7 linked regions of the Macaca mulatta genome follow. The protein of the gene in region 3 interacts with the protein of the main gene of each other region in a pairwise test. Links are inferred from orthologs where the notes say so. Each region holds a gene or a part of one and is shown on either strand. Other genes may lie near its edges.

Evidence for each region.
Region 1: the proteins of KIFC3 (region 3) and CLIP4 interact in binary tests that used the Homo sapiens proteins (3 or more experiments, as listed by UniProt). The two-hybrid records come from large-scale screens. The link is inferred for Macaca mulatta from reciprocal best matches to the Homo sapiens genes KIFC3 and CLIP4.
Region 2: the proteins of KIFC3 (region 3) and CBY2 interact in binary tests that used the Homo sapiens proteins (3 or more experiments, as listed by UniProt). The two-hybrid records come from large-scale screens. The link is inferred for Macaca mulatta from reciprocal best matches to the Homo sapiens genes KIFC3 and CBY2.
Region 4: the proteins of KIFC3 (region 3) and DEUP1 interact in binary tests that used the Homo sapiens proteins (3 or more experiments, as listed by UniProt). The two-hybrid records come from large-scale screens. The link is inferred for Macaca mulatta from reciprocal best matches to the Homo sapiens genes KIFC3 and DEUP1.
Region 5: the proteins of KIFC3 (region 3) and NECAB2 interact in binary tests that used the Homo sapiens proteins (3 or more experiments, as listed by UniProt). The two-hybrid records come from large-scale screens. The link is inferred for Macaca mulatta from reciprocal best matches to the Homo sapiens genes KIFC3 and NECAB2.
Region 6: the proteins of KIFC3 (region 3) and USP2 interact in binary tests that used the Homo sapiens proteins (3 or more experiments, as listed by UniProt). The two-hybrid records come from large-scale screens. The link is inferred for Macaca mulatta from reciprocal best matches to the Homo sapiens genes KIFC3 and USP2.
Region 7: the proteins of KIFC3 (region 3) and SOX5 interact in binary tests that used the Homo sapiens proteins (3 or more experiments, as listed by UniProt). The two-hybrid records come from large-scale screens. The link is inferred for Macaca mulatta from reciprocal best matches to the Homo sapiens genes KIFC3 and SOX5.

Annotation. Positions count from the first base shown.
Region 1 is NC_133418.1:95,855,574-95,860,187, forward strand, and holds the start of CLIP4 (CAP-Gly domain-containing linker protein 4), read right to left. Parts: upstream 3,021-4,614; 5' UTR 2,735-3,020; intron 1,926-2,734; exon of another isoform or gene 1,898-1,925; intron 1,746-1,897; exon of another isoform or gene 1,665-1,745; intron 1,565-1,664; exon of another isoform or gene 1,382-1,564; intron 1-1,381.
Region 2 is NC_133422.1:24,969,993-24,974,644, reverse strand, and holds the start of CBY2 (protein chibby homolog 2), read right to left. Parts: upstream 3,224-4,652; coding exon 3,113-3,223; intron 1-3,112.
Region 3 is NC_133425.1:53,471,557-53,476,364, forward strand, and holds the start of KIFC3 (kinesin-like protein KIFC3), read right to left. Parts: upstream 2,965-4,808; 5' UTR 2,666-2,964; coding exon 2,558-2,665; intron 1-2,557. UniProt on the Homo sapiens protein: Minus-end microtubule-dependent motor protein. Involved in apically targeted transport. Required for zonula adherens maintenance.
Region 4 is NC_133419.1:94,210,184-94,214,342, forward strand, and holds part of DEUP1 (deuterosome assembly protein 1), read left to right. Parts: intron 1-1,751; coding exon 1,752-1,865; intron 1,866-2,731; coding exon 2,732-2,974; intron 2,975-4,159. UniProt on the Homo sapiens protein: Key structural component of the deuterosome, a structure that promotes de novo centriole amplification in multiciliated cells.
Region 5 is NC_133425.1:79,364,023-79,367,438, reverse strand, and holds the end of NECAB2 (N-terminal EF-hand calcium-binding protein 2), read right to left. Parts: intron 2,748-3,416; coding exon 2,670-2,747; intron 1,824-2,669; coding exon 1,732-1,823; intron 1,318-1,731; coding exon 1,289-1,317; 3' UTR 861-1,288; downstream 1-860. UniProt on the Homo sapiens protein: May act as a signaling scaffold protein that senses intracellular calcium.
Region 6 is NC_133419.1:120,061,841-120,065,999, forward strand, and holds part of USP2 (ubiquitin carboxyl-terminal hydrolase 2), read right to left. Parts: intron 2,337-4,159; 5' UTR 2,296-2,336; coding exon 1,522-2,295; intron 1-1,521. UniProt on the Homo sapiens protein: Hydrolase that deubiquitinates polyubiquitinated target proteins such as MDM2, MDM4 and CCND1. Isoform 1 and isoform 4 possess both ubiquitin-specific peptidase and isopeptidase activities.
Region 7 is NC_133416.1:26,282,460-26,287,332, forward strand, and holds the start of SOX5 (transcription factor SOX-5), read right to left. Parts: upstream 3,090-4,873; 5' UTR 3,017-3,089; coding exon 2,979-3,016; intron 1-2,978.

The sequences.
Region 1 (4,614 bases), on a different chromosome or scaffold from region 3:
TAAATAATTAACAAAGGAGCAGTAAACCTAAAAGTAACCAGAGTTTGTAGGTTTGAACAGGGAGAAAGAGTGAAGTCGGTTTTATATAAAGATCACTAGTTTCAAATACGTGCCAAAATTGGAGTTGTCATAAGCAATAAAAGACAACACAGGTCACTTTTTTAAAAGCCCTTTCCGGTGGGACTGCATGTGGTAAACACAAAATGTCTGAAATGAATCCTACAAATAGTATACCATGGGCTAAATCTTCTGCAAAACAGAAGTAAACACATTCCATGCATAGCAAGACTCAATCTTACAGTCCAGATAGTCCGTATCAGATGAAAGCATTTTAAAAATGCATCATATTTACGATAACAAAATAAGCTGGAACCAGGATGGTTCTCCAACACAAAAACGCAGACCAACTAGACTCCACCAGGTTCAAGTCTCTGCTTTCCTCCCTAGTTGCTCCATGCCCCGCACCACCCGATCCTGTGCTGTTTAGACGACTCACTTTAAATTGTGCACAAGATTCACAAACAACAAACGTCAAAGTGAAAGTGAAGTACAATTTAAGTGCTGGCGGATGTTCCTAAGGAGGACGGTGTTTACTGAAATCTTTCAAAGGTGCCGTTTTACACGATGACGGTGCTACAATATGAACACAGTCTAGTATCTCAGAACACACAGCAAGTTACTGTTCCGTAAGAACATCATCCTCTGATCTATATCAAAACACTGTCTCAGAACAGAGCTGAAAACCAGCGTCTGGATGACGTGAACAGCCTGACATCTAATTCAAAGCGCTACCATCATAAGCCGTGAACGGAATCCTTAAGGATGCGGGCTCAGCTCCAGCGCTCCTTCCAACTTCCCCTCCCAGGTGCGGCTGGTTCAGAATTAAGGGACCTCAGGTAGCCAAGGACTGCAAGGACAGCCATTTGGTTTAATTTTGAAGACCCAAGGGCCAAAGATTTCTCGACAATTTAATGTGCAAGGGGGGTCAAGTGAGAAATGGGAAGAGGCCGCGTTGGAAAGCCACTGCGCGTGCGGGGACTACTGGGGCGGCCGCGGGGTCGTGGGCCAGAGCCCAGGTCCGCCGCCGGGTCCCGCACACCCCACGCCCCTCATCCTAAAGTTGGGCCATCAGTCAGCGACCGCCACGAGGAGCCCCCATCCCCGCCGGGTGGGCCGCACTGCCCCGAGAAGGCCTCCCCGCGGTCGGTGACACCGGTGCCCACTGGAGGCGGCCACGGGGCTTCCACAGCCCCCAGCGCCTCTGCGAGACCCTCCCGGGGCCACCGACCTCCCCGCGGGCCCCCAGGGCCGCCCACCCTCGGCCCCGACCCCGCCGCCTGCCTGCCCGCGGCCCGGGGGGCCCCGCGCGCCCCCGGCCCACCTGCCTCCTCCGGGTCCTCTCGGAGCGGCCGGCTGGGGACGCGGGGGCGCGGAGGAAAGGCCGAGAGGCGCGCTCCCGCCGGCGCTGTCTCCCGTGGCCGCCCACGGAGCCTCCCGCCGCGCCGCTCCGGACCTCGCCGGGCCCCTCCCGCTGCCTCCCACGCGTGGTGGGCGCGCGCGCAGTGCAGGCGGCCGGGCGGCGCGCAGGCCTCGGCCTCGGCCCCGCGCACGCGCCGGGAACTCGGTGGGGACGGAGGAGGGAGTGCGCGCCTGCGCTGGCTCACCTCGCGCCCGCGCCCCCGCACTCCCCAACGGGCAGAAGATCCGGCGCACGCGGGCCCGAGACCCCGGCTAGCAGCGTCTGCGGGGTGTCGCAGTGTTACCTCCCCCGCTGCGAAGCCAGGCGGCCCCGGCACGCCGTGCGTGCCCACCGCCTTCACAGCGCTCAGCCTCGTGGCCTCACATCTCCACCCTGCGGCTCTCCCACCAGCTGCTCGGGCCAGGGACCGCGTCTTACCCGTCTTGGGCTCCCCGGAGTCCAGCTGAGTGTGGCCGAGAGTATATCCACCAGTTCCCTGCTGGCAGGGCTTGCTGTAAAAGGCCTAATCCATGCTACACCCACGTTGAGCAATTTAGTTCATATCTCCTGCGGCTTTGCTGCCTCTTCACCCACCTTCTCTCCTGACCCCCTTTCTCCGTCTCCCAAGGACCTGACAGGGTGAACTGTGCGCCTAAAGTCGTGAACTCTGACAGCCTGTCATCTGGTAGCAAGAAAGCGTTACTGGATACATAGTAAGTCCCCTTAATGAGGAGACCTAGTAAGACCATGGCCGAGGTTTGAAACATGGAGTCAACAGTTACATCGTATCAGCTGTCTCTGAGGCCTACAGCGGCTGCTTCATAGAGGCTGTACTTCTGTGTTCAGTGCGCACAGTGCCTAGCAGGAACAGATGTTGAACGAACGTCTGTCATTGTCTCTGCAAGAGCAGAGGTAAGCGCTCACCTCACCCCAGAGCATCTTTTCCTGTTAGAATCATTGATTCCATGGGCTGGGAAAAGCCCCCTTCCCAGTTGCCTGAATCCTCCTTACAGTGTCTTCCCACCAAGCGGTGGTTTAACACCTCGCGGTGTAACAAGGAGCTCATTACCTTTTAAGGCAGTTATTTAATCTTTGATCAGCCTTTTGGAAAATTTCTTTCTACCTTAGAAGCTAAAATCCAGCTCCCTGCATCTCCCCATCATTGGATTTTGTTTCTGCCCTGGGAATTCTTAAGTCTGACTCCAATTTATCCAAGACACGCATTACCTATCCCTTAAGCTACTCCTGATATGACATGGTCACAATCCCACTCACCAGCATGTTGAGGGATTCTCTTGGATGCATCCCAGCTTGTCCAGAGCTCTCTTAAATGTGATTATCAGGAATGAGTGGGTGGCCTGCCAAGTGCGGAGAGGAAAGAGACTGCCACCTCTTCAAGGTCCTATGCTTGTGTTAACAAAAATTCACCATATCAAAATAGTTGCTAGGAGCAGTCACATCACATTGTTGAATCGGGTGGCGCACACTGTTGACTAAAACCCACAATATTTAAATACGTGACCATCCCCAAGCCTGGTCAGCTGCCAGTTTCTCTGTCTCTGCAGGCTCAGCATCTGTGAGTGCTCTCAGAGATAATGTGTAACACAGATACTTCCTCCTCCCTCTGAAGAGTCCGCCTCCCTTTCCCTGCTTTCATCATACCCTCTTCTTGTCTGACCCACCCATCTCTTTAGCTGGTTAAAAGAAGAAAGGCAATCTGCCCTTGGTTGGCTTCAAGCACCTATAAATGAGGCCGATTGTCACTGAACCTCAGAAAGTCATAAAGATCTGTGTGTAACAGAGGAGCTATTGGTGAAGTTTCCAAAGGTATACAGTTCACTTTTACTGGTGATTTAAATTATCCCTCTGAAATACCACTATTAGTCAGTGACAAGGCATGGCCGAGTTGTTATTAGCTATAATAAAGATCTCTGTTAGAACCAGTCAGGCCACTGGCTTTATCTGCTACACCCAAACACCGGAATACATAGGCAAATTCCCAGGATACCAAGCCACCAGAGTCTCCCACTCACTTAGTGGCCTTTGTTCAAAAATCTGACGTTACTCCTTTACACCATCATCAAGAATGCAAGTGCTCGTTAGAGTCATGCTTCCTAGAGTATCTCATGACATACAAGCTTTAGAACCAGGTATTGCCCAGTTAACAAGAGTGAGACTGGACAATGATACGCGGCCAGAACTTGGAACTTGAACTATTCATTGGGGTGGGAAGGCACATGGGGATGTGGACCAACTGTAGCTGCTGAGATTCAATTATATCTGGAGACACAAAGTTCCTGAAAAGTGTAGCAATAATCCACAGTGTCAGGAGGTGATCGACTTACTGGTCAACATCACGGTGTGGAGAAGGGGCATTACTCACTGACCACTGTAAAGGCACTTGGCCTATGGAGAGCTTACTTGTCTTCACTTTACAAATGAAGAAACAGACTCTGGGAGGCTGCGTGACTTGCTCCATGTAGCCAGGGGCAGAAATAAGATTCAAACCTAAGTCTGTCTGATCTGAAGGCCTGTGTTGATTCACTACTTTGCTAACCTACACAGGCTGTCTTTGGGGGCATTAAACACCCAGAATGGCTGCATAGAGCAGCATGCAGAAATTCAGACACTCAGCAGCATGGAGATCTGTCAGCAGCTTTCAGGACCCCCACCATGATAAAACGGTTAGAGGAAATAGCAAAAGAAGACAAGGTCACTGCTTTTACATGGACTGGATATGGGGTAGAATATCATCAGTTTCTAAATTGTGAGTGTATAGGGGGCCTAGCCCTTAGGACCGTGAGAGACACCCAACTGTCAGAATTGGGGCACCAGATTGGAGTTCAACTAGTAGAAGTGCTTAAATGTAAAAGATCAGAGCACTGGGCAGAGTCCCTAAAATCTTCCTGTCTGCGATATTTACAGATATGATCATCAGCATCAAAAGCCTAACAGAATCAACAAGGTATTAGAAGTAATGTTAGCTCAGCAAGGTTGCCAAGTACAAGATCAGTTTCTAAAAATCAATAGTTTTGTCTACATCAGCAGTAAGCAACTGGGAAATGTAACAGACAATAAGAAACCATTCACAATAACAATAAAGTTTAACAAACTCTAAAGCATAGTATCCAGGAATTAACCCAACAACTTGCAAG
Region 2 (4,652 bases), on a different chromosome or scaffold from region 3:
TCTGAGGTGTTTTCTGACACTACTCAATTCCTTAATTCTCTGACATCAACTGTGTGCCCTACAATTCCATTTCATTCTGATGCTATCTACCTGGAGTTAGTGTGATAGAGCTGAAGGGGCTTAATGCCCAATGCAATAGAAGCCAATACTAAAACACTACGTTCTTTAAAAAAGAAAAACTTGTATATTCAAAGTCAACTCCCAAGGAGACAAGAGTCAAACTCAAACCCGTCTCTCGGTGCTGACATTAAGGCAGTATTTTTATTAGAAAAGTTTCCGGGGGTAGATTCCGAGATTAGTAGGTGATTGGTAGATGGAAATGGGAGATATGGAAAGTCCCAAAGAGTAAGAAATCAGTAACTAACAGAAATTTTTGAGTTTCGGGATAGCAGATAAGAAAAGAAATTTAAGCTGCTGAAACTCCCTCCACTTGCGAGATCTAGAAAAACCTGGCGGAAATTGGTTGGAACCAAAATGGCTGACTGGAGCTTGCACACAATAAGCTTGCTGATGTCGTAGGCTGAATTTCCACCACATGTTTTGTACTAATTCCCCCTGAATTTGCACATGCAACTCAGGAGTTAACATGAAGAAATAACTGTGCATGCCCAAGGACTTTCCAGACCTCCCTTTTCCTTGTACCAATCACCTGCTAATCTCAGAATCCACCCCCTGAACCTTTTCTAATAAAAATACTGCTTTAATGCCAGCACAGAGAGACAAATTTGAGCTTGACTCCTGCCTCCTTCAGAGGTGACTTTTAATATAAAGCTTTTCTTTTTTTCAAAAACTTGGTGTCAGTATTGGCTTCTAGCATATTGGGCAGTGAGCCCCTTTTGCTTGATAACAAACTAGAACCCCAGGTGAGACGAACAGCCTGTTCAAGGTACTGTTGCCCCTAGTGGTGTGCAGGCCCCCTGCACTGATCCTGAGTAGCCACCTAGACCAGTGCGTTCAGAGGCTCAACTATAGGGTTCCTGCTTCTCTACCATGGCACTTCAGGTTCCCTTGGCACTTTTCCTTTGGGAAAAGAAATTGCTTCTGGATTAGACATCTTTCTGGTGAGTACCTTGTTAATACATACCTGTACTTTTAATTGTCTTTGAACTCATCATAAGGACTGTGGGTTCAGGTCCCACCCTGTGGTTTAGGATTATGGATGAGAGTCCCACCCTTGTCTAGGACTGTGGGTTTGAGTCCTACCCAAGGGGGATTCTGGTCAGGTTAGAGTCCCAAATCTGGTGTATGTTCAAGTCACAAAGAATTAAGGCAATAGTAAAAAGCTGCAGCCACTGAGATAATCTAGTCTGGTTCTGATTTTTGTTGATCTGTCTGTATTTTTGGTCTGTGTATCAATGTTTGGCTTAACAAAGGTTAAAGACTGTGATGGCTCCAGCAGAAGCCTTATGAGAGCTCCAGAGTAGTTTATCCGCACACTCAATTAGAACAAAGCAACTCCATAAACTAGAAAACCTGAAGAAAAATGGCACATGGAAAAAATGTCAGTCAAACCCTCTTTCTTCTTCTGCCCCTAAAGAGTTGTCATGTAGTCTTCTAAGTTATTTGCCTGTCTTTTCTTCTTGACTACTTTGAATCTGCTGACTTTTTTACTAGTGTTGAGATAAAACTTACTGTTCATGGTATTACTAGTTTAAGGTTACTGGCTAAAGAAAAAAAAAATGAAAGAGGTCTTTTAAAATCAAAGTGCCATGGAAACTGCTTTGCTCATCAGGGCAAATAAAGTTGAGCTATGTGAACAGGTTCTAATTTTATCAGGAAAATAAGTTTGATCCAACTGTCTCGTTTACGCATATACATGCATTATGTTATGTGTTGTTTCTATATGGTATCAAATGAGCTTATAAATAAAAGAGTACTGATACATTAAATAAATAAGCCCAAAAGCTTTTCAAGTTCATGTGACTTTAATAATCTTTGGAAAATAAAACCAATTTAAAATTATTGATAAAATAAAAATAGATATGTCTTCAGAATTGTCAGCATGTGATTTTGCCTGTGTTTACTGGTCAGCTGACATGTGCATCTGCTAGTTATTTTAAGATGTCCAGGTTTGGCACAAAAGTCACGAAATTATAAACCTAGCCAAAACAGAATAATCTTTGTTTACGTGATTCTTTTGATAAATAAGACTAATATTGTTGGTTTAATGACAACAATGAAATCCTCTGATTTATCAGCAAAATATCCATGTATTTCACTTCAAAGTTCTTACTTAGGTGAACACCTGATATTCACAAGCTGTGAAATGGTTAACAAGGAAAAAACTTAAAATGATGACCAGCTTTGTCTAATATCTCTGTTCTCATAACTAATCTAGATAAACTGTTAAAAACAAATAAATTAGATAAACGTAATAAATGAAATTCTTATGTTTTTGAAAATCTTGAAGTTATCATACTTACTGAGCAGCTGGGTCACTTCCAATTAAGAAAATGTATAAGGAAATGTTTCTAAAGGTTAAAAAATGGTTTTAAAATACATAAATTATAATATTTTATCTATAAAATACTGATATATGACAGACAATTCAAGAGTTCTTACCTCCTAGGTTCTTCCCTAAAATAAGGATTACTAAGAGTTAATATTGTGACTTATATATGTAATTGAAACTACTAGATACAAGAGAAACAATTCTATATGCAAAATGTATAAGAAAAATAGGATGTGTTTTTGGTAAACACATAAGAAGACAGGAATATGGTTTTCATTTAAGGGCAAGTAATTTTGCCTAGTTTAGAGGTTCTAAAGGATTGTTTTAAATTGAAGGAATAAAAAAATTATAGATAAAACTAAATAAATATAGAAAGTTAAAGAATGAAAATATAACAAATTGGAAGAGGTTATAAAAGGTTTACGGAAATCTTATCTTGCAGTCAAAACTAACTGAGATTGAATAGATTTGTTTATAAGGTCTTATTAAAATTAGCTGTAATATTAAAAATGCACTAACACAAAACTAAAAATTTTGGTTAAAGCCACAAAATTTTTTGAAGTATTGATTTGCTCTCAATGATATTGCAAGAAATATTGACTTTAAATTCTAAAATTAAAATGTCAGATTTATATCTCAGAAGTTCAACTTTTCCTGTACCTTGTTACATATAAGTTGCAGATCACATTCATTATCTTCTGTTTTTTTCCCCTTGAAAAAAACATATCTTTTTGCTTGGCTGGTCTGATAACTCTTCTTCAACTTTTTCATGAACTCCTACAATTTTTTACCCCAGCCCTAATGCTGTTCTTATGGCATAATGCTAACATATTTATCTTAAAGTTTAGAAAAGCAATGTTTTCCTCAAATGTAATATAATCTTATACTCTTGGCTTTATGATATGTCTGAATTATTTTGTATAACCAGGAAACCGCCCATGTAACTTTCTGTTACTTACTTTTGAGGTCCTTTGACTGTCATGCTAGTTAAATGAATAACTATTATTTTAAAATGACCTGTAGTTCGTTTTGATCAAATGTTCTGAATCTTTTAACATCTTTGGTAGGATTTATCTGGTAAAGTTGTATGGGAGACATTATCAAATGCTAAATAATACTGGATCTTCTTTTGGTTATGTTTATGGGTGCGCTATTGATATAAATGTACTAAAAATTACATACGTTTATAAAAGTCTCACATGCTATGAGTCGTAATTTTGATATGTTAAATCTTTTTAAAAGTTATATTTGTGTAGATACATTATTAGTAGAAATATTCTTAAGATTATATTATTATAAAAATCAGATGGTCCTGATGTGATGCTGTCAGTCATGGTTCTGGTTGTTATCTTAAAATGCTACATATAATAGAAATAACTACATTTTCCTGACAATTGACAACTTTTATCAGGTTTTAGCCATGGCTAAGTTTTTGTAATCCACAGTTATTGTTTTGAATTCTTCTCTAAAAAGCTTTCCAATCAGCTACAACCCAAATTACTTTTCATGCAAAGGACTCTGATCAGTACTCTTAAACACAGATTTCTGATAACTTTGGAGATAATGCCATCAGACTAGGAAAAGTCTTCCAGGGCTCTGATTAAAAAGTTGCATGAGAATTGCTAACCCAACATCAAACAGAACAAGAATTAGCTACATGGGACTGAACTGATAGAGGAATAAAAAGATCTTTTATGACATTTTTATTTGAAACATTGATGATCTCTTATGTTTTGTTTTCCTGAGTCAAGAAAACATTTTCCTTTTGAACCGTTTTTAACTTACAACACATTAGATAAAATATACCTTTGTGAACAAAACTTTGAGGCATTTACCTTTCTCTCTGCTCTCTCCAGAACTTGGAAGCTGTTTGTGAGTATTCTCAGTTTATGGCAATATATTATTTGCATTAGTTTTCAATAAAAAACTATTTTCTTTGGTAATAGAACACAATTGGAGACACTGGTTATTTTACTAAGGCTTTGACTGGAATGACATGTTTTTAGGTATGACCAGAATGGAGGTTAACTTTAGAGCACCAATAAAAAAAGCCTCTTAAAAAGACTGGCCTGGTAGCTGGTCTGTAAGGTTCCTTTACAAAGTTTCTGTCCTCGCAGTAAGTAAAAAATGTCACTTTCTGATAGGTCCAGCAACCTATTTTGGGACCCTGAGAAAAGAGGAATAACACATCCATTCATCT
Region 3 (4,808 bases):
TCCCAGCTATTCAGGAGGCTGAGGCAGGAGAATCGCTTGAACCTGGGAGGAGGAGGTGGCAGTGAGCCAAAGATCATGCATTGCACTCCAGCCTGGGCAACAAGAGTGAAACTCTGTCTCAAAAATTTTTAAAAATTTAAAAAAAGAAAATCAAACTGGATATCCAAATGATAATTAAATTACATATGTTCATTCATTACCACTGCTGTTACCAGAAAATGGGTCTTGTCCCAGACTCCAAGAGTGGGCTCTTAGATCTCACTTTCTCGGGAAAGAATTCAGGGCAAGTTGCAGAGTACAGCAAAGTTAAGATAGTTTGTTAGAGACTATTATGGAGTAGGGCTTCCTCAGAAAGCAAAAGGAGGAATGCCCCTACTTTAAAATTTTTATTTATTTATTTATTTATTTAGATACAAGATCTCACTCTGTCACTGAGGCTGGAGTACAGTGGCACTATCATGGCTTACTATAGCCTCAATTTCCTAGGCTCAATTAATCCTTCCACCTCTGACTCCCAAGTAGCTGAGTTACAGGTACACACCACCATGGCTGGCTAACTTTTGTATCTTTTGTAAATATAAGGTTTTTTCATGTTGGCCAGGCTGGTCTTCAACTCCTGAGCTGAAGAGATCCATCCATCTCAGCCTCCCAAAGTGCTGGGATTACAGGCGTGAGCCACCATGCCTGGCCAAGAATGCCTCACCTTAAACATAGTGCTTGCTTATATAGGTTGTTAAGAATAGCATACTTCATTACAAAGACTTTTGATCAGCTTGTGACGGGCTATTAGTATTGTTATTTTCCTATGTTACTACTGATTTCCACAAGAATTTATGTGTGTACTATTATCTTTAAAGTAAAATCTATTCTTAAACTAAGAATGCTTTTTGTTCTTGAAATATTGGGACGTTTCCATAAGTTCTGGGTCTTTATTTGGTAAGTTAGCATCATTAACTCATCCCCTCAACCATAAATATCTTGTGACCAACAGTGTCAACCCCCTGGGAATGCTGCCCAGCAGGATTGGCTTTACTTAGCCTTTATTCAGGATGGAGTCTCTCTGGTCAGGACATCTCTGACACTATTAACCTTCTATCTCAATGTCTTTCCCTCTCTCACCACGCAACCTTAGATAATTAATTTGTTAATTACCAATCTCATAAATGAAACAATGCTGACCAGGGCAAATGGCTGGTCTGGATGTTCCCAAGGATGTATTGCAGGCGGCAGGAAGGACGATGGACCCAGCATCCACTTTACCCGGGGACGATCATAAAACAATTTGCACCATGGTACTGAGGGCCAGAAGGCCAGAAGACAGCCATGTGATCAAAATAATCTTTCCTAGGCCAGGTGCGGTAGCTCACACCTGTAATCCCAGCACTATGGGAGGCCAAGGCAGGTGGATCACTTGTGGCCAGGAGTTCAAGACCGGCCTAACCAACACGGCAAAACCCTGTCTCTACTAAAAATACAAAAATCAGCCGGGCGTGATGGTGTGCACCTGTAATCCCAGCTACTTGGGAGGCTGTGGCACGAGAATCACTTGAACCTGGGAGGTGGAGGTTGCAGTGAGGCAGGATTGTGCCACTGCACTCCAGCCTGGGCAACAGAGTGAAACTCTGCCTCAAAATAATAAAAATAATAACAATAATGTTTCCCACAGGTAAAATATTTTCAAGCGGAAGGAGTGGAAGTACTAGCCAGTCATATATATAGATCATCAAGGAATAAGGATGAGCTTCCGGAAGCGAATTCTGGCAGCTGGGCTTACCTGCTACTCCCTGGGAGCTTTTTGGCGCCTTTATTATTATTATTATTGTTCTTTAATTTTCTGTCTGGAATAGCTGGGACTACAGGTGCACACCACCACATATGGCTACTTTTTTTTTTTTCTTTTAGTACAGACAGGGTCTTGCCCAGGCTGGTCTCAAACTCCTGAGCTCAAATGATCCTCCCGCCTCAGTCTCTCAAAGTGCTGGGATTACAGGTGTGAGCCACCGTGCCTGGCTGAGATTTCATCAAGCTACTTAGAACATCATGCAACTTAGAATTTATGAATTGTTTATTTCTGGAATTTTCCATTTAATATTTTTGGACCTTGGGGCCTAACCAACACGGCAAACCCTGTCTCTACTAAAAATACAAAAATCAGCCAGGTGTGATGGTGCGCACCTGTAATCCCAGCTATTTGGGAGGCTGTGGCACGAGAATCACTTGAACCTGGGAGGTAGAGGTTGCAGTGAGGCAAGAGGGTTACTGAAACCTCAGAAAGCAAAACTGTGGATAAGAGAGGATTACTATACTGCCATAAAGTTGCATTTTTAAAATAATTTCAAACATTGTATCCAAGTAATATGTGTATTCAATTAAAATTTCATCCCTTCAGTGTTTTATAAGTAATTCAAATACCAGAGTGGTAACCATCTTCTAGGAATATTAGTTACAATCCCAATCACTGTTTTTCAAAAAGATGTTGTCAGTCCTGCTCCTGAAATTTCTCTCCAACAGGTCTCCTCCTCCCATTCCCACTGCCCCAACCCAGCCAGGCCCTTACCTCGCACTGCTCCGGGACGCCAGCCTCCAATCTGAGGCTTTCCTGGTGTCTGGGCTTCCATGCAGCTGTCAGAGTGTTCTTCCTGAAAAGAAACTCCATCCATGCCATTTTCCGAGCAATACGCTTTACTGGGTTGTCCTGTAGCCTTCAGGATAAAGTACAGATTCCTAAGCATGACACCTTGGATGAAGTATTTTCCAGTCTGTTCCCTCCTTTCCAGATTACCACCTGCCCCTTTGACCCTGCCCTTTGGTCATTAGCTACAATCAGCTGCTCTCTCCAGCAAGCCTCACTAGCTCTCCAAGCCTTCCCCCATGATGCTCTCTGCCCAGACTGCCCTTCCTCCTGTTCCTCTGCCTACAAGATCCGACGTGCCCTTCAGCCTCCAATGTTAGTTCACCAAAATCTTCCCTTTGAATTACGAATGCAGCTGGCTGCAAACTCCTCCAAGTGACCAGAGTGTCCTATAATCACCTCTATGATAGCATCTTTGATTTAGGGGGTGATTTTTCTTTTTTTCTTTTCTTTTTTTTTTTTTTTTTTTTTTTTTTTGCATTTCTGAATTTCCTAAGAGAATGTGAATTCCTAGAATCCTAGGAATTCTCATCTGATTTTTATTCCCAACATAGCACCATGCAAAGCAAAAAGTAGGTACCCAATAACTGCTTTTGGAATGAATGAATGAATCAATGAATGGTACCATGCAGCTGCCAAAGTGCTTTCTGCAAAGCAACTCTGACCTTGTTGCTCTCTGAGCTGTGCTCCTTCCTGGGTGATGAGGTAACACTGGAAGCTATTAACAGATAAGAGAGAAAAAAAAAGGAGGGGAGAGATCTCTGGGGCTCTGACAAATTACTTATTTTCACTGAGTTTCTGTTTCCTCATTTGTAAAACAAAAGTGCTGCCCGGATGAGCTCTGAAGGCATCTTCCAGTTCTCAAATTCCAGCCTGCTTGGCTCCCAAACAACTTTCCTGGAGTCTCTGGCAGCTATAACCCAAGTCTTAGCACCATCTAGTGATAAACAGGCACACAGCTGGGAGGGAAGGCCGGGGAGTGGGGAGGGTGGATAAGAGAAGGAATGCCAACCTTAATTATATTATGAGCTGGCAAGGAATTAGGTCAAACCTGCAAATACGAAGTTAAAACTAAGAGGCCTAACTTTATCCTGGGGATGGAATAACTAATTAGCTTCAGAACATGGATGAAGTAGACAATTATAGAATGCCTGAGACATGGAAAAGACAATAAAACAATTCCTGTGTACCCTGGCCCTCTGGTTCTTTTATCAATTTACTGCTTGTTACTGTAATTAAAGTTTTCTTGGGAGGACATGTGCTTTTGAAGGGCCTATGGCATGGGACTCTAATAACTCAATAAAACCACAAATTTATTAAGAATATATATGTATTTTTCAAATTTCTTCTTATTTATTTATTTATTTGAGACAAGGTCTTGCTCTGTTGTCCAGGCCGGAGTGCAGTGCCATGATCATGGCTCACTGCAACCTCGAACCCCTGGGCTCAAGCAATTCTCCCACCGCAGCCTCCTGAGTAGTGAGGACTACAGGGATGTGCCACCATGCCCAGCTAATTTTAAAATTTTCAGCCAGGCACGGTGGCTCACGCCTGTAAATCTCAGCATTTTTGGAGGCTGAGGCAGGTAGCTCACACAGTCAGGAGTTTGAGACCAGCCTGGCCAGCATGGTGAAACCCCATCTCTACTAAAAATACAAAAATTGGCTAGACATGGTGGTGTGTGCCTGTAATCCCAGCTACTCAGGAGGCTGAGGTAGGAGACTCTTACCCCGGGAAATGGAGGTTGCAGTGAGCCGAGATCCTGCCACTGCACTCCAGCCTGGGCGACAAAGCGAGACTGTCTCGAAAAAAAAAAAAAAAAAAAATTCTTTTTTTCAATAGAGATTGGGGTGGGGGAGGTCTCACCATGTTTTGCCCAGGTTGGTCTTGAACTCCTGGCCTCAAGCGATTCTCCCACCTTGGCCTCCCAAAGTGCTGGAATTACAGGTGTGAGCCCCAAGTTCAACCTCTTTACCTTTATTGGAGTATAATAAGACCAAAATATGACTAATTAACACTATAGGAAATAAGGATAATTCTGAGAGAAGCAGCAAAACAGTAATAAGATACTAGTGTCCACATTCTTTTCTTTAAAACCTACAGACCTACACATTTTTATTAACCTAATATTTGCTAAATGACTTTCTAGTTGCCAAAAAACAAGAATCAACAAATC
Region 4 (4,159 bases), on a different chromosome or scaffold from region 3:
TAGGCAAAATGGAGAAGCAGCAATGTCTTCTTTGGCATCCCCAGAGCTATATCCTTTGCTTATGTTATTAAGATGTGAACAGATAATCATGCTGTATAATTGCACGACTTGAGCGAAAACTTAAAGAACTGATCCTGCTTTATCAACCTACTTCTACCATTTCTTTCCCAGGTATACCAATTGGTACTGCCTAAATGAGGCCTGGCCATGGCCACAAGGGGCAAAGTCACTGTCTTAGTTCAGGCTGCTATAACTAAATACCATAAACTGGGTGGCTTAAACAACAGACATTTATTTTTCACAGTTCTGGAGGTTGGTAGTCCAAAATCAGAGTGCCTGCGTATTAATCCATTCTCACACAGCTATAATGAACTACCTAAGACTGGGTAATTTATGAAGAAAAATGATTTAATTGACTCACAGTTCCACAGGCTGTACAGGAGGCATGGTTGGGGAGGCCTTGGGAAACTTATAATCATGGTGGAAGGCAAAGGGGAAGCAAGGCATGTCTTAATGTGGCCAGGAGGAGAGAGAGGGAGAGAGAAAAGCAGGAAGTGATACACACTTACACAGCCAGATCTCATGAGAACTCTGTCAAGAGACAGCACTAGGGGGATGGTACTAAACTACTAGAAACCACCAGGCCAGGCACAGTGGCTCACGCCTGTAGTCCCAGCACTTTGGGAGGCTGAAGCAGGCGGATCACGAGGTCAGGAGTTTGAGACCAGCCTGACCAACATGGTGAAATGCTGTTTCTACTAAAAATTACAAAAAATTATCCGGGCGTGGTGGCATGTGACTGTAATCCCAGCTACTCAGGAGGCTGAGGCAGGAGAATCGCTTGAACCTGGGAGGTAGAGGTTGCAGTGAGCCGAGATCGTGCCACTGCACTCCAGCATGGGCGACAGAACAAGACTCCATCTCAAAACAAAAAAAAAAGAAAAAGAAACTACCCCCATGCCCGCCAGGCCCCTGCTAACACACACACACACTCGGGATCGCAGTTCAATGTGAGATTTGGATGGAGGAGACACAGAGCCAAACCATATCACCCAGCATAATCAGATTCTGGTAAGGGCCCTTCTCCTGGTTCACAGACAGCTGTCTGCTCTTTGTATCCTCAGATGGCAGGGAGAAAGAAAGAGAGAGGAAACAAAATCTCTCATAGCTCTTCTTACAAGGGCACTCATCCCGTTCATGAGAGCTTCACTCTCATGACTTAATTACCTCCCAAAGGCCCCACTTCATAATGCCGTCACATTGGGCTTTAGGCTTGACGTATGCATTTGTTGCGGGGGACACAAACATTCAGTCCTTAACAGTCACTAAATAAGTCCAAGCCCCACCCTCTAAAAAAAACAAGAGAACAAATTTGGCAACTGAATGAATGAAGGAAAAAATATTTCGTGTCAACAAATAGAAAGTACTGGCTACTGCAAAAAAAAAAAAAAAAAAAAAAGGTTGTTTGAAATTCCCTTATTAGTAATAAGTATTTGTTATAAGAGAGACTTTTTATATTTTTAACAGTAAGTGACAAATTCTGTATTTTCCTAGCAAAAATTAGAGATGGTAAAAAAATCCAACATGAATTATTTGACACCTTTTTTTTTGTTTGTTTTCCCTAATAGGTAAAGAATGGATTTACTTTTTTTTTTCTCAGAATGAAGATGTACAAATGAAAGAAGCCCTATTCGTTGTACTTTAAAATGAATAATATTTTTCAATATGTTTGTCTCCCCACTTTTTAAAAGGAATTTAGAGCGAAGTCAAGAGAATGGGACAAGCAAGAGATACTATATCAGACTCATCTGATTTCTTTAGATGCTCAACAAAAATTATTATCTGAGAAGTGTAATCAGTTTCAGGTAAGTTATCTAATACTATTCTCTAAATCAAAAGTAGAAGTTAAATATTGGTATCTTTACCATTCAGCATGTAATCTATTTACAAATAGAAATGCCAACTAAGAAAAAAATCACCAGAGTAGGTCCAAAGGTGGGTACGGTCATAAGTGCATAGAATATCTGTTAATGGTGAATTTAGTCTACATGTCTCAAAGGATGGAGCTATTTAAAAATCCATTGTTATTGTGTCATTAAATACCATATGTTTTTGTATGCCTATAGGCAAGGCACTCAGAGAGTTTAAGATTGCTTGCTTTACTTCGTATTTTCTTGGCTACTTATAAGACGGAGCATCTCCTCATATACTTTTTAGCCTTTCTCAGGTCTTTCTGTGAATTGCCTATTCATAAACTTTGCCCATTTTTCTTTTGTGTTGTTTGCCTTTTCTTATTGATGTGTAGAAGTGTTTGTACATTAGGAATTATTAACTCTGTTACATGCACTGACAACTTTTCCCCTACAATCAAATTGTTTGTTTGTATTTATTTTTGGTTATAGACTTTTTTCAACCATTGTATAATTGAATTCATAGTTTTCTTTTTACACCTTCTAGATTTTTTTTCTTGCTTGATATGGCTTTACTACCACTAACCTCCTTCTCTAGTCTACATCTTTGCTCTGAGGTTATACAAATATATTTTCTCTTTATGCCATCTGAAATTGAAATTTTAAAACAAATACAAGACTGAATTACAAAGACCCAACTTTCATTATCTAGTAACATATTTAAAGATATTCCTACTAATTATTTTCTATCATTCTTGAACTTCATGTAAGCTTAAATATGACATTCTTCATTTGAGTTACACAGTTTTTATGTTTTTCAGAAACAGGCACAAAGTTACCAAACTCAACTAAATGGTAAAAAACAGTGCTTAGAAGACAGCAGCTCTGAAATTCCTCGTTTGATATGTGACCCAGATCCCGATTGTGAAATCGGTGAAAGAGATGAGTTCATTATTGAAAAACTAAAATCAGCTGTAAGTGAGATAGCACTAAGCAGGAATAAATTACAAGATGAAAATCAGAAGCTCTTGCAAGAACTGAAAATGTACCAAAGACAGTGCCAGGTGAAGATTAATTTTTTGTTTTTCAACTAATATTGTCCATGACTTGTGTAAATGGTAACTCAACAGATATAGGGATTAGAATGGTAGTTTTCTATTATTAATATATGTGAAGATTCTGTTAATATTTCCTCTTAGTAATTTGCACTTGATGGGTAGATTCAATAATCCCATAAGTATGTTACCACACTTAGAGTGCACTTTAGTTCAGCAGTGGCATAATAATAATGTATTACAAGTGCAATGTAACAGTGGTCACTTACAAACCTCTATGCCTTTAGCCATGTACTACCCTCTTCCCGCACTATTTTCTGTTACCCTGTGTCTCTTTGACTCAGAAGAATCCTTGGTTAAAGATACAGGAAATCATGAAGGGTTCAACAATCTAGTAACCTCAGTGAGAGCTATGGAGGTGACTCCAGTGATTTATCACTGGTAATGGTATCACAATCATTTATCAAACAGTAACCTAGAATTTATTTTTAGGTAACTTTCACATTGACAAATATGATTGATGATTTAACAAGCATTAATTTTTTTCTCAACTCAGTAATGTTTTCTTCTTTTTGTCTATTTCTTGTAATCATTAGGAAGGTTATACAGCACTCATCAAAATTACCCATTTCTTTACAGAATATATATTTCTTATTCATTAGTACTTGAGACATTCTTTTATCTCCCATTTTAGGTTTTTTCTCTCACCTCCAAATATTCAGCCTCTTTCCATCACTTCCTACATGACAGTTGGCCCATATCTTTTCCCCACTCTATTCCCTGCTCTACCTAACATACGTGATTGAGGTAAGGTCACTGCCTGAGAACTTCCATTTCATCTCCTTGAGATATACCACCCCAAGATCTGTTGCCACTTAAACTCCCAGGGTCATTTCTTAGTCTTGGGCCAACTCCTCATTCCCCCACCTTGCCACATTATATTTGGGATTATATAGGGAGTTAGTCCTTTAACTTCTTTCTCTGCCAGCATCTACTGTTCTATGTTCCTCTTTCCCTATGTTTGGTAAGGGACAGAATTCAAGGCTCCCAGTCTCCCCCATTCAGAGGTGGTTATAAGACATACATATACCCCACCTCAAACTCCAGCTTTAAGGAGGGAGGTCTTATTCTAATACAAGTTAGGATACAGATGTAAACCAGTAAAGAAAGCTGAACTACAAATACTAAATGCAG
Region 5 (3,416 bases), about 26 Mb from region 3:
CCGCCACCTCCTGGGTTCAAGCGATTCTCTTGCCTCAGCCTCCCAAGTGGCTGGGATTACAGGCGTTGTACCACTACACCTGGTTAATTTTATATTTTTAGTAGAGACGAGGTTTCAGCATGTTGGCCTCGAACTCTTGACCTCAGGTGTTCCAACTGCCTTGGCCTCCCAAAGTGCTGGGATGACAGGTGTGAGCCACTGCACTGGGCCGTGAGTGACTTCTCTCCTGCTAACCAGGACTGAGACAGAGGAAGAAGTTACAAAGCGTTCAGAGTAAGACTTAAGACGTGACTTGCAGTTCATAGTCGGGCTCTCCTGCATTGTTGAATGGCTGATGCACAGCTGTGCTGGGAGAGACTCGCCCGTCCCTGGAGCATCGTGCCTGGTGAGTGTCTTAGTTGGGCCACACTGCGTGGTCTGTGCCAACCATGTGACTTATGGTGGGGGCTTGAGCCACAAGGTGTCAGCCGTGTCTATGTCACCGAACCCCAGTAAGACTTGGGACTGCATCCCTGGTTGGTGATGCTCTGTCTGTTGAAGCTGGGAGGGTTCAGTGATGTCTGTGGCCTTTACTGGCAGCCCCTGCCTGGCCCCTGTTCCGGGAGCCTCTTTCTTTGCTGGATTTTGTCTGTCATCCACCTTGACTTTGACAGTTGCGCCCAGTCCTCTGAGTGAATTACTGACCTGAGGGTGGGGGTGGTGCCCTCTGGGCTCCTGAATAGGCATGAGCCTATGTGTCAAAATACCGCATAGAGTGAACACCTCCATTTTATGGTTCAGAAAACGGAGGCTGGGGGCACTTGCAGGGTGCCCAGGCCCCTGCTGCTGTCAACCAGGAACAGACACAGAGCACACAGCCCTTCCCAACCAGGGTTTATTCGGCGCCTGGGCCCAGTGGCGGCGGCCTGGCTAGGTTGGGCACTACAGGGTCCTAACTCCTACCAGGTAGAAGAATGTCACTGAAGAGGGCAGGGCGTGGTGAGTGCGGGTCATGCGTGGCCGTCTGAGGGGTCGGGGAGAGGCCAGGACCAGGAGGTGGGGGTGCTGGCCCCAGGAAGCCGCCCCCTTCACCCACAACCTTGGGCTTCACCAGGACCGGGCAGCACAGAGACTGCTCTGCCTTCTCGGGTGGGGGCAGGGGAGGCCTCCTTCACGTCACAGCAGGGAAACACCGTGTGGAAGACGGGTTGAAAAGACAGCCTCTGCACCAGTTTCTAGAACACAGGGGATGTCCTTCACAAGCAGAAGGGGCCAGGGGTGGGCTCCTCCGCGGGCCTCTGGGAGGCTGTCAGTCCCGTCCCACCGTGCACCAAACAGCTAGAAGGACAGAGACAGGTTAGAGGGAAGGAGTGCGAATGTGGGTAGCTGGTGGGGGCCGTCTTGAAGGGCAGGTGGGGAGATGGCTTTGAGTCCTTATGTGACCCACGGGTGCTTGCTGGTCACCCAGGAGCAAACCACACACCTGGGAAGGGAAATTCAGTCTGGCTAGAAGTAGCGGGCTGTGGAAGGGGTGCTCTGGTGCAAGCTCCGGCCGGCATGCCTGGATGTGGGGCCACCTCAGGGCTGGCTCTGAGCCTGGAGCTCTCCTCTCCCCCTAGGACCCTCCCTGCACACCTGGCATTGGGGTCAGGAGCTTGCAGGCAAGTCCCTGGGAGAGGCGGGGTGGCTTCTAGGCTCTTGCCCGGCTCTCCAATCAAGTGGCCACTGCAGTTCCAGGCCTTCGCCCCCTACCTGGCACCGAGATCCTGGAGAGGGCCTCAGGCTGGCTCAGTGTGTCCACCTTGACGTGCCGGAACGCCTTACACACGGGACTTTGCAGGTGCCTGCGATCCAGGGAGATGTGTTAGGGGCACCAGGAGTGGAGCTTGGCATGTGGATCCCCTGTTAATCCTAGCTCTGCCCAAAATGGGGAGCTTATAAATAAGCCCGGGGGGGGGGGTCTTTGGACTCCAAGCCTTTGTGGGAAGGTGAGGGGGTGCCTAGGGAGGCTGACTCTGGGGTAGGCACTGAGCCTTACATGGGCAGTGGCATCCCCCTACTCAGTGCACAGAGCATCGACCTCCTGTTTTACCCTAGGAGGAGGAGTGGGGCCATCCTCCGCCTGGGACGGATGACAACACAGCAGCTGTGAAGGGTTTTAGTCCCTCATTTTATGAGTCACTGAAGTACGGACAGGCAGGGGACACCCTCACTTCTCATGACAGCCCCTGTTCCCACAGGGGTCCTGAGTTTCTCTGCAAACTGTGTTTACCGGGGAAGCAGGATATCGGGGCATGAGCTACCCCCAGGCCCTGCTTCCTGCCTGTGGGGTCTGGCGCATCAGAAATTAGGCTCCGCCCAGAGTGGGGAACAACCTGTCCCAGATGTGCTTGGAGCAGACGACAAAGGCCTAAAGCCCATCAGAGCTGATGACACCCTACCCCATCTCCCTCCCTCCTACAAGGCACTCAGCTGGGGGGGAGGTTAAGCGCTGGAACAACTGATCACATGGGGACTGAGGTACCTTCTAGGTCAGGTCCTCAGCTCTACAGGGTGATAAAGAAGGCAGTGCCTTGGCCCACAAGGTGCTCTACAGGGAAAGAGCGTGGTGGGGGGTCTCTCTACCCACCAGGAGCTCCTGGCTCCAGGAAGACAGCCCCCACACCTGCTATGGAGACCCAGTGTCTCACCTCTTCCATGCCTCCTCCGTCTCCCAGAACTCATAGATGACAAAGGTGAAGCCATCCGAGAGCCTCACGGCAGTGATGCTGCAACAGGAGACAGACAGGCAGGGAGGCTGGGGCTCAACCGTGGCCACCCTAGTCCTGTAGCCCACCCCTATACACAACCGCTGCCTTCAACCTTTCTGGTCCTCCAGCGAGACTCAACAGGGTGCCCCCACCACCTGGAACAAGGCCTGGTTTCTTATAGTGGCCAATAGCTATTTGTCAATGACATGTAGTTTTTCTTTTGAGACAGGGTCTCACTCTGTTGCCCAGGCTGGAGTGCAGTGGCACAATCACTTCAGCCTCCCAAGTAGCTGGGACTATAGGTGTGCACCACTTGGCCTGGCTAATTCAAAAAATGTCCTAGTAGAGCTGGGGTCTTGCTATGGTCCCCACGCTGGTCTTGAACTCCTGGGCTCAGGCAGTCCTCTCGCCTTGGCTTCCCAAACTGCTGGGATTGCAAACTTCAGCCACTGTGCCCAGCTGAAATGTCATGTTAAAATCTTCACCTTTATTTAAACAAAACCAGGTGGCTGCGTGTGATGGTTCACACCTGTAATCCCAGAACTTGGGAAGTCTTGAGGGGCCGAGGCAGGTGGATTACTTGAGGCCAGAAATTCAAGACCAGCCTAGCCAAAATGGCAAAACCTGGTCTCTTAAAAAAAAAGTTGCCAGGCCTGGTGCCATAGGCCTGTAATCCCAGCTATGCAG
Region 6 (4,159 bases), on a different chromosome or scaffold from region 3:
GACCATGCAACAACCCTTCTCTTCTGAGCAAGGGGAGGGAGCCCTGCAGAGGCTTCTAGGACCCAAACCCCTCTGAGGAGAGCCATATTCTAATTGCCCTGGGGATGAACAGCACCAGCCGAGTCCAAGTGAATCCTGCTCCACCACAAGCCCAGCATGTGGCCCCCTGAGAGCTGATACTTTCCCCCCAGGCCAGCTGTGTTGTGACACATGTCTCTTCTCCACTCCTTTCTACAGTGGATCCAGCCCTGCCTTGTCAGGTTCTGAAAGTTCTGGGAGGCACCAGCATTTCTATCTCCTGTGCCACTTCACAGATGGCACAGCAAAGCCAAGACTCCCTAAGTAATATTATCAAAGTTGCCCTCTCAAGATGTTTACTTATGCAAGCTTCAAGGTCCTGCCCCTAGTCCTGAACCCCTGCTGCATTTGTCTGGATCAGCCCTCCAAGCAGCATTTCTTGCTGTGGCAGGCTGTTGTTTTCAAAATGTACTTGTCCTAGCAGTAGGGAGGGGTATGTAAGGTAATGGAGGAGACACAGCACCCAGCCCTTCTGTCCATATGCTTGCCTGTGCATCTGTCCACCTGCCACTACCCATGTATCCACCCACCCACCTATCCCACCACCCACCCATCCATCCATCCATCCATTCATCCATGCAATCAGCAGGTCAGCTCCCGTTGTGGGAGGCACGTGGCAGGGGATCTAGAGATAGGATTTCGTTTTCCTCCTCTGAGAGCTTGCCACCTAATGGGCACACTAATAACTACAGAAAGGCAGATGTCATCAGTGCCCCAAGAGAGGCGCGTTCAGAGATTAGTTGCGAGCAAGGCCATGCCAGCCCTTGGTCAGTCTCCAGCAGAGCCTCTTCTCTCATTCCAGCTGAGGCAGGGCTGGAATAGAGGTATTGGATTGTCTCAAGCCCTAGATAAAAATTTCTCCACTACTTTCTCCAAAGCCAGATGATAAGCCTTGCTGTCTGATACCCTAGTCCTGAGCATGCCAGTGTCACTCAGAGGAGAGTCCCTCTTCCCCTAATGTCTTATGTCCAAATATAAAGCCAGGCCTCGGGGCTAGGGAATAAAACCTGCACAAGAGGGGAGATGTAACCGCAGCAAGGACGCCCTCCTGCTACTGGGTGCACTGGTGGTCTGGGGCCCCCGCATCCAGCCCAGGTCGGGGCAGGGCCTGCAGGAGGCACTGGCATCTCAGATGGAAAAGGAGAAGGTGAGAAGAGTGGTTCACTGGGGGCAGCGGAGCATTCCTGAGAACACTACTGGACTGTCCTCGAGTGCACAGGCCCTGAGTGGGCTTTCTAGGCAGAGCAGGAAAGCCCCTCCCCTCGGCACGGAGCCCCAGGGGCACCAGACGTGCTGGGATGACCTCTCTTGTTTGTCTCCACCAGGAGCAGCCACCGGCTGCCGTCAATCATCAGTCAGGTTGGGAGTCAAGCCCTCAGCCTGGCTGTTCTGCAACAGTGGCTGCCTCCCCAGCCCATCCCCGGTCCCCAAGGGTAAACTCACCATGCTGTCTCTCCCCGGGGAGCTGGAGCGGCTGGGCCCAGGGGCCTGACCCTTTCCCTTCTCCCACAGCGTGTAGCGGCCAATGGGTCGGAAGGTTGGGCTGAGGATTTCAGGGACTCGTGAAGGAGGGGTCTGGGAGGGCACCTGAGATGCACTGCCCTTGCGACCATAGTTCTCCAGGTAGTCCACCAGGTACTCAGGGCGGCTGGCTGCCTGGTAGAGCCCCTGCAGGGTGCAGAGCTCCTTGCGCGTCCGGGCCAGCATGGGGCTGCGACCCAGGTTCCCGGGGTCTATCCGGTAGTTATCTGAGGTCCGGAGGCTGGAGAAATCCCGGGCCAGGTCTGATTGGCTGTCCGACTTCTGGGTTAGGGTCACCCCCTGGTCATAGGCATTCATGGGCAGGTAGCTGAGGCAGTTGTTGCTCACTCCATAAGGGAATCCACTGCCCCCACTGAGGCCACTGCCTGAAGGCCGCTCAGTACCCCGGGTCTGGCTCTCTGCCCGCTTACCTCCCCCAGTGATGTTGGGTCTCAGCAGGGGGCGGCCCCGGTCATAGTCCAGGATGGAGGAGGGGCCATAGGTACGGGGACGGGTGAGGAAGCTGCTGGCGGGGACCGGCTTGAAACCAAATTTCTCTTTCTCCAGTAAGGAGGCAGCCAGGTTGGCCCCATAGGAGGAGGGGGTATAGGCACCATAGCCCGACTTGGAATAGTGGGCATCTGTGTAGCGGGCTGATTCTGTGTAGCGCTTCAGGGTGGAGGAGAGCTGGGACATCCTTCAGGGTCGCACTCAGTGGGGACTGGGAGCCTCATGGGCTGAAAGACAAGGAGAGTAGTTGTCAGAGGGCCCTGCCAGGTGTCGGGCTCCCACAGACCCGCTCCCCATCCCTAGCTGGGCCAGAACCTAAGAGCTCCCAGTCCATTTCCACAAGAGACAGGCTGGCTGCTGAGAAACACACATGCACACAGGTGTGCACACGGGCTTGCTTGCACCTGTGTGTTCACGCCTCAGTGAGAGTGCAAGGGATGAGGTGGCTTTTATATGCCACACAGGGAATCAGCGCATCCTGGCCATTCAAAGACTCAAACACACAAGCAGGGGCTACCCGACGTCCACAGCCCACCAAGCCGTGCAGTCTTCCAGCTCAAATCCCATTGCCTCAGCAACTGCAGAAACTCTTGAGCTGGGGGGATGCCACAGACCCCTGGGTTGAGAATGCTGGATATTTCAGGAGTTAAGACCACTTCTGTCCCTTCTGACTTATGTGATGAGCAGGTGTCTTTTTGGAAACCTAGACTGTGCTGGAATGACCTGAAGATCATTTGGTCAGATCCCCTGTGGGGCCAAGGAGGCTCAGGAGAGGAAGTAATGGGGTGTGGGTGGGCAGGGGAGGCCGTGAGTGAGCATGCAACAGCGAGGGGCCAGAACGTGGTCTCCAGACCTTTTCCCCAGACACCAGCATCTGCTGCTGGTCCCACAGTGAGGGACACTCGTGAAGTAGAACCCACTCATGTCACTGAGCTAAGCTTCTGTTCTAAGTGGAGTTAGGGCCCTGGGCCTCCCAAGAGTTCCTCTACCAACACAGGGTTCCTCTACCGACATGGATCCGGATCCCAAATTGGTCCTGGTGATGTTTGTGCAAAGGGGGCCCCCTACAGTCCCAAATCTTGCACTGCACGTGGCATTCCCAGTCCTTCCCTGTTCCAGTCCAGCAGCTGGGGAGGGTCTAGTGAAGGAACTGCTGAATGTGGAGCTTTGAAAGCCCCAGAGGATCATGAATTTTAATCTATCTGTTGTACAGATGGGAAAAGTGGTGCTTATTTCTCCCCAGCCACACACCAGCAGAGCCAGGACTGGAATCCAGGTCTTTGAAATCCTGGCCAGTGTTCTTTCCACTTAACCTTGAGTTACCACCCCCTCATCAGATTTAGGGTCAGTTGGGGACCCCCGGAGGCCTTCCATTGCCGTAAACATGCAGCCTGTATCCAATAGAGCTGGAGTGGCAGAGGAGCAAGTAGGGTCAGAAGCCTGTCCTCAAGGGCATCAGGGGCTCTTGGGGGGCTCTCTAGGGGGACGGAAGCAGAGCCATCCAGGACTCTCAGAGTGGTGGGACTTGCCCTGTGATAGACTAGCTGGGTGATTTTGCACTAATCATGTAACCTCTCTGAGCCCCAACTTCCTCATCTGTAAATGAGTAAAACCACCATCCTCATAATTCCTACCTCACAGGGCTGTTGTGAGGAATAAATGAGATAACAACACGTGAAGGGCTCCACAATGACAGTGGTTACCATCTCCTCCCCGAGCTACTGCGAGGCAGCCTGGCTCTGCCCTCTGTAGGTCTATGATAATATCAGGGCTGGCTGTCTCCCAGCCTGGCCAGCCTCTAGCCTCAGCTTGGGACACCAGGCCTCCCCATGCAGCCCCCAGCGAGAGAAGCAGGCAGTGGGCAGACATCTGGCCACTCAGCAGACACTGGCTGGGCAACCCAGCCCATCAGGGCAGAGAGGAGATGGTGCCAAACCCCAAATGCAAGGGCTTGGCAGAAAGCTCTAGAATCCCAGTCCACACAAGGCTTTGGGGTAGGTACAGGGGTGAGAGATGAGCAGGTAGCTTCTATATAGGACCCAGAACAGCA
Region 7 (4,873 bases), on a different chromosome or scaffold from region 3:
TTCAGTTAAATATATACATTTATTGACTTCTTTTAAATATTTGGGGAAACTTCGGGCATTCGTTCTAATGATGCTATTACTCACATTTAGACCATGTTGCCAGCTATGTTTTCTCTAAACGGTAAAATGTAAAAGAGTTTCCTTACGAATAATCTTTAGAACATATACGCCCATTTGCTTCCCACCTGGGAATTGTGTTTTTCAGTAATCATAATCAGTCTATCACAAGGATGCTTGAAAATAAAAATATTTCAAGTTCTTTACCTTTTAGAATCACTGTTCTATTTGCACTACCTCCTGCATATTTTTAACAAACAATGAAATTGTTACTACTTCTTAACTATTTAATAACTGCTTGTTAGTCTGAGAGTACTGACCATGTTCATTTCTAGTGATGATAATATAGACACATACAAATCTGAACCCAAATTTTGATCCTGATATTTAAGTTTTGAATATTCCTTAAAGTTCAAATAGTCTACAGGCTGGGAAGAATAAAAGATGGACAAGACTCTACCAATGAAATTAGTTAAAAATGATCACATAAAACTTTTACAGTACATGAACCCCAAGCAATTTATTATGTTCTCTAGATCAAAGTTCTCTTTTTCACAAAGAAATTTAGCAGTCTTCTTTTAGATTTCTAAGTTTAAGCGGAAAATCATCTATAGCAAGTGATCCAACAGAATAAAAATTAACAGTCAATAGAAATGACCTATTTATTCAGTGAAAGTTGCAAACAGTTGAAAAGGCAAAAAAAAAAAAATCTAATTATATTTGATAGTTTCATTACATCATAAATACCTCCTTTGGAGAATACAAATATTCAATATTGTGTCTACATGATATACTGTATCATGCATGGTTGCCTATAGAGACACTCACCCGTACAAATTCAATGTAAACAAATAGTAATGATTTGCTGACATCTTTGTATGTATTACCAATTACAGCCACAGGGGAAATTATTAAGGAACGTTATAGTGTACGGCATTTTTCAGAATTATTTTAGATACTAATATTTCTAAATTTGATAGTCATACTAACAACCCTATTGATTATCACTTGCTTATTTAATTAGCTAGTTAGAAAAGCATGCCTCTGGGTGAAAAAAAAAAATGAAATTCCCACCAGGAGGAAAAAAGATGTTAACAGATTTGAGCATCAGAATAGGAAAGGGAAAAGTTTAGTTTAAAAAGAGATAATTGAAAAAAAAAATACAAATAAAGTTCACAGCAGGAAGCTTGCCTATATAGAGAAATAGGCTGCAGCCTGTTAATATGTAACTACCTTTTTATAAGTACAATCTGTTAACAGGCTTACAAATCAGTCTCAGAGTTGTATTTGCAAAAAGTATAATTAGAATTAAAGAATATTATCATTTAAGTGCTACTCTGTGCATTCTAGAAAACTTAACTGTGTTAAATTAGCAAATCGCTACATTAGGTAATGTATAGTATGTTTCACTATGAATAACTTCAACATCTACCTATGAAATAAGGCTATATTTGCAAATAAAAGCTCACTAATTAAAGAGTTAATATATAGAACTGAAAATTTTAATTCAAAACTGTAAAGAAAGCTCAAACATTCGCTGGAATTATCTAGTAAAGATGCACTTTAATTATACAAAAAAACACACAGAAGAAATCAAAGAAAGATGACAGCACTGAAGTATATATGTTGGCTATTTTACTTTCTTCCCTGATTTGATACTGGCTTCTCTAATATGTGACCACATTCAAGCGTTACTTTATCCTCAATACTCTTTTTCTCTTCCATTGCTTCACTTCTAGAATGTTTTAATCTTTGTCCTTTCTTTTTTCGTCTTTTCATATCAAATTCAGTCGTTTGAGCGATGAACAGCTTGACTTAGCATATTTTTAACCAGCTGGTCTAGCACCTAGCTTGCATTGCATAGTCAGATACAACAAATGTTTATACAGAAGGTAGCTTTCATGAAAATGAAAAAAAGCCTGGGTATCATGCATCCTGGCTTTTTTTAGCTTTTTTTTTTTTAATTCACCATACAGAATACAAAGTTTGAATTCTTTTTAATGGCAAACAAAATTCTATTTATAGTTCAAAAAAATGAACTTATGCTGGGATAAGAACTCAAATTTAAAAATTGCAATGTGTACTTATAGGAACATTAAGAGGGCTAAAATTCTTTCAAAGCCCTGCTTTACTTGCAACAACATCAAATAAAAGGATGTTGCAGATACTTCTCTAAATAGGAACAACTTAATTACAAATACACTATTCCCATCATAGCAAAAGGGGAAAATACAGTAAATTAAAATTCAGTGAAGACAGCTAACACAAAAAGTGGTCACTAAAACTTAGAAAGGGAACAGCCCCATTTATCCCCTTTCCCCCCCTATTTTTGACACTTATGGAGTAATCTAATATAGCGGTGATGTTAAATTTTCTTTGGAGGAAAAAAAAAAAAAACGCTCTCTTATATCAACAAAAGGTCATGTGCTTTACTGAGCAGCTTCCAAAGTTTTACGGAAGGATCAAATAGGAACTTATAGCCTCCGTTTAAAGCACCACTAAAACCTTCTGTCACCCTAGAAATTACATGAGACCGAGATGCTGAAAATGGTAACATTCTGCACAAAAGCATTTTTAAAAGGTGGGGAGAAAACAATCAATGAAGGAAGAAAATAAGAGAGTGAATGAGAAAGAGAGAAGCAACGAGTTGGGGAGAGAGAGAGATGCTTAAGGTTCATTTAATTTGCTGTTACAGGACGCAACCTGAAAACATTAGCAGAAATCCCGGAGACTTTGCAAATCAGTTCAATTTGGTCCGGGCAACCACAACAAAAAAAAATCAGCTAACAAGACTGCAGAAGCCCAAGCTAAAAGCTTCTCTAACAAACACGTTTTGGGGGAGCATCTTCCAATGATTCAGAGACTACTGTAAAATGGGAGAGTTGTACTTCAATATATTAGGGGGAAAAAACTGTACTCACCTTTCAAACTCCTGAGGTAAATCAGGGTCAGTAAGCATGCTGGAAAAGCACAATTTCCCTTTGTCACAGCAGCCACCTATGATCGTCTCCAACTGAACCTGTCAAGTGAGTCCAAACCTTCTAAACCAATTGATTTTCTCTCTCTCTCTTCCCCCCCTCCCTCCCTCTCTCTCTCTCTCCCTCTCTCTCTCTGTCTCTCTCTCTCCCTCTTTCTCCCCCCCTCCTTTCCCTCCTCTCCCTCTCCTAGGACTCCTTGACCAGTCTCTTAAAGGGGCAGTGCACTTCCAGCAGCCGGGTCTGGCTGCTCCCCCCTCCGCGGAGCCACACGCTCCGGCTGCAAGGCTCTAGACAACCTCAGGGTGCCTGTCCTTTCCTTTTAATTCTCTCTTCTAGACATCACTGAATGTGAGAAGTCAACTCATTTAACACGTCTCCCATACTCTGTCTTCTGAATCATAAAACTCACACACACACACGCATAACAGTATGATTTTGTAAAACATATTTGCTGATTAAAAACCAAGTCTAGATAATAACAGAAGCTCGATTAAACTGCATTTATTAACTAATGAAGCAAAAAATTTAAATGTTAGCAATAGCATTTTTACACAAAGAATTGTTACTCCTTCTCACCCTTTTCTAGGCTCTCTCCGTTCACACACGGAAATACACGCACACATACACACACACACACACACACACACTCACACACACAACAATCGGGCATTGTTCTGAGGGAAGAAAAGCAACTTTGACAGATTGAAATATAGCAGAGGCCCCTTCAAGGAAACCTGTAAACAACTTGTCACTCACTCTGTCCGTCTCCCTGTTAGATCGTGCTTTCCGCAAAGTGGTGCGAACGTCCTGGCAACCCAACCAAAGTTTCCTCAGCTCTAAACTCCATAAAACACGATGTGCGATGTGGAGGGGAATAGGTATCCGCATGCCAAAATAACACCCACGAGCGCACAAAAACCCAAAACGAAATCAAAACATAACAACAAAAAGACGCTACTAACAAACTGTCCTGTTTGGGATCGCTGGGGAGGTCAGGAGTAGGAAGCGCTCCCCTGGCTGTGGATCTCTTTAATTTCCTCTGCCCAGGCAGCCACAGATAACAAGGTGGACAAACTATGGCTTTACAGATTCTAAGCTGGCTGGCAAGGCACAGCCTCCATAGCAGTTCCAATTATCTAGATAAAAATCTGGCAGGCGAGAAAGGTAATCAGGTAATGTACCTTTGACATGAAATGACAGAGGCACATACACACACAGAGAGAGACACTTACACAGACATGCATGCAGAGATGGTGGCTGCCCCGTGCACCGCAGCATCTGGTCAGGGAGTAAGCACACACTCACCAACACGAGATAGTGTGCATTCTTCACACACGCATGCACACACACATACACACACACACACACTCAGTCACTCACACACGCTCTCCACTCCTACTGGGAGGGTTCATTCTGCACAAAAGGCTACATTACAGAGCCCGCCCCAATAAGGGAAAGAGAGGAAAAAAAAGCCTTCCATTGTTGAGAGGGCAGGTCAGTTGATTAGATTTTCTGTGGAGAATTCCACGAGGAAATTCCCTTCAAAGCCGAAGTGATTAACTGGGGGCTATTCTGGAAATGGAGCAGACAATGGCTCAATAGTCTGTACAGCCAATGTCCAGGCTGGCACTGAACTCACTTAAAAAAAAAATAAAAGCCAGACTCCCTGTTCTTTTCCACACATTCCTCCCCCCCAGCCCCCTCCACTCCTTCCAACTTCCCCTCCCAATTCCTTTTATTTTGCAGCTGGACAACATTAAGAGCCTTTAAAACCACAAGGGTTGACCCCACGGCAGTTTGATTAGGTCCCACTTTTTTTTTCTGGAGACAGGCAGACA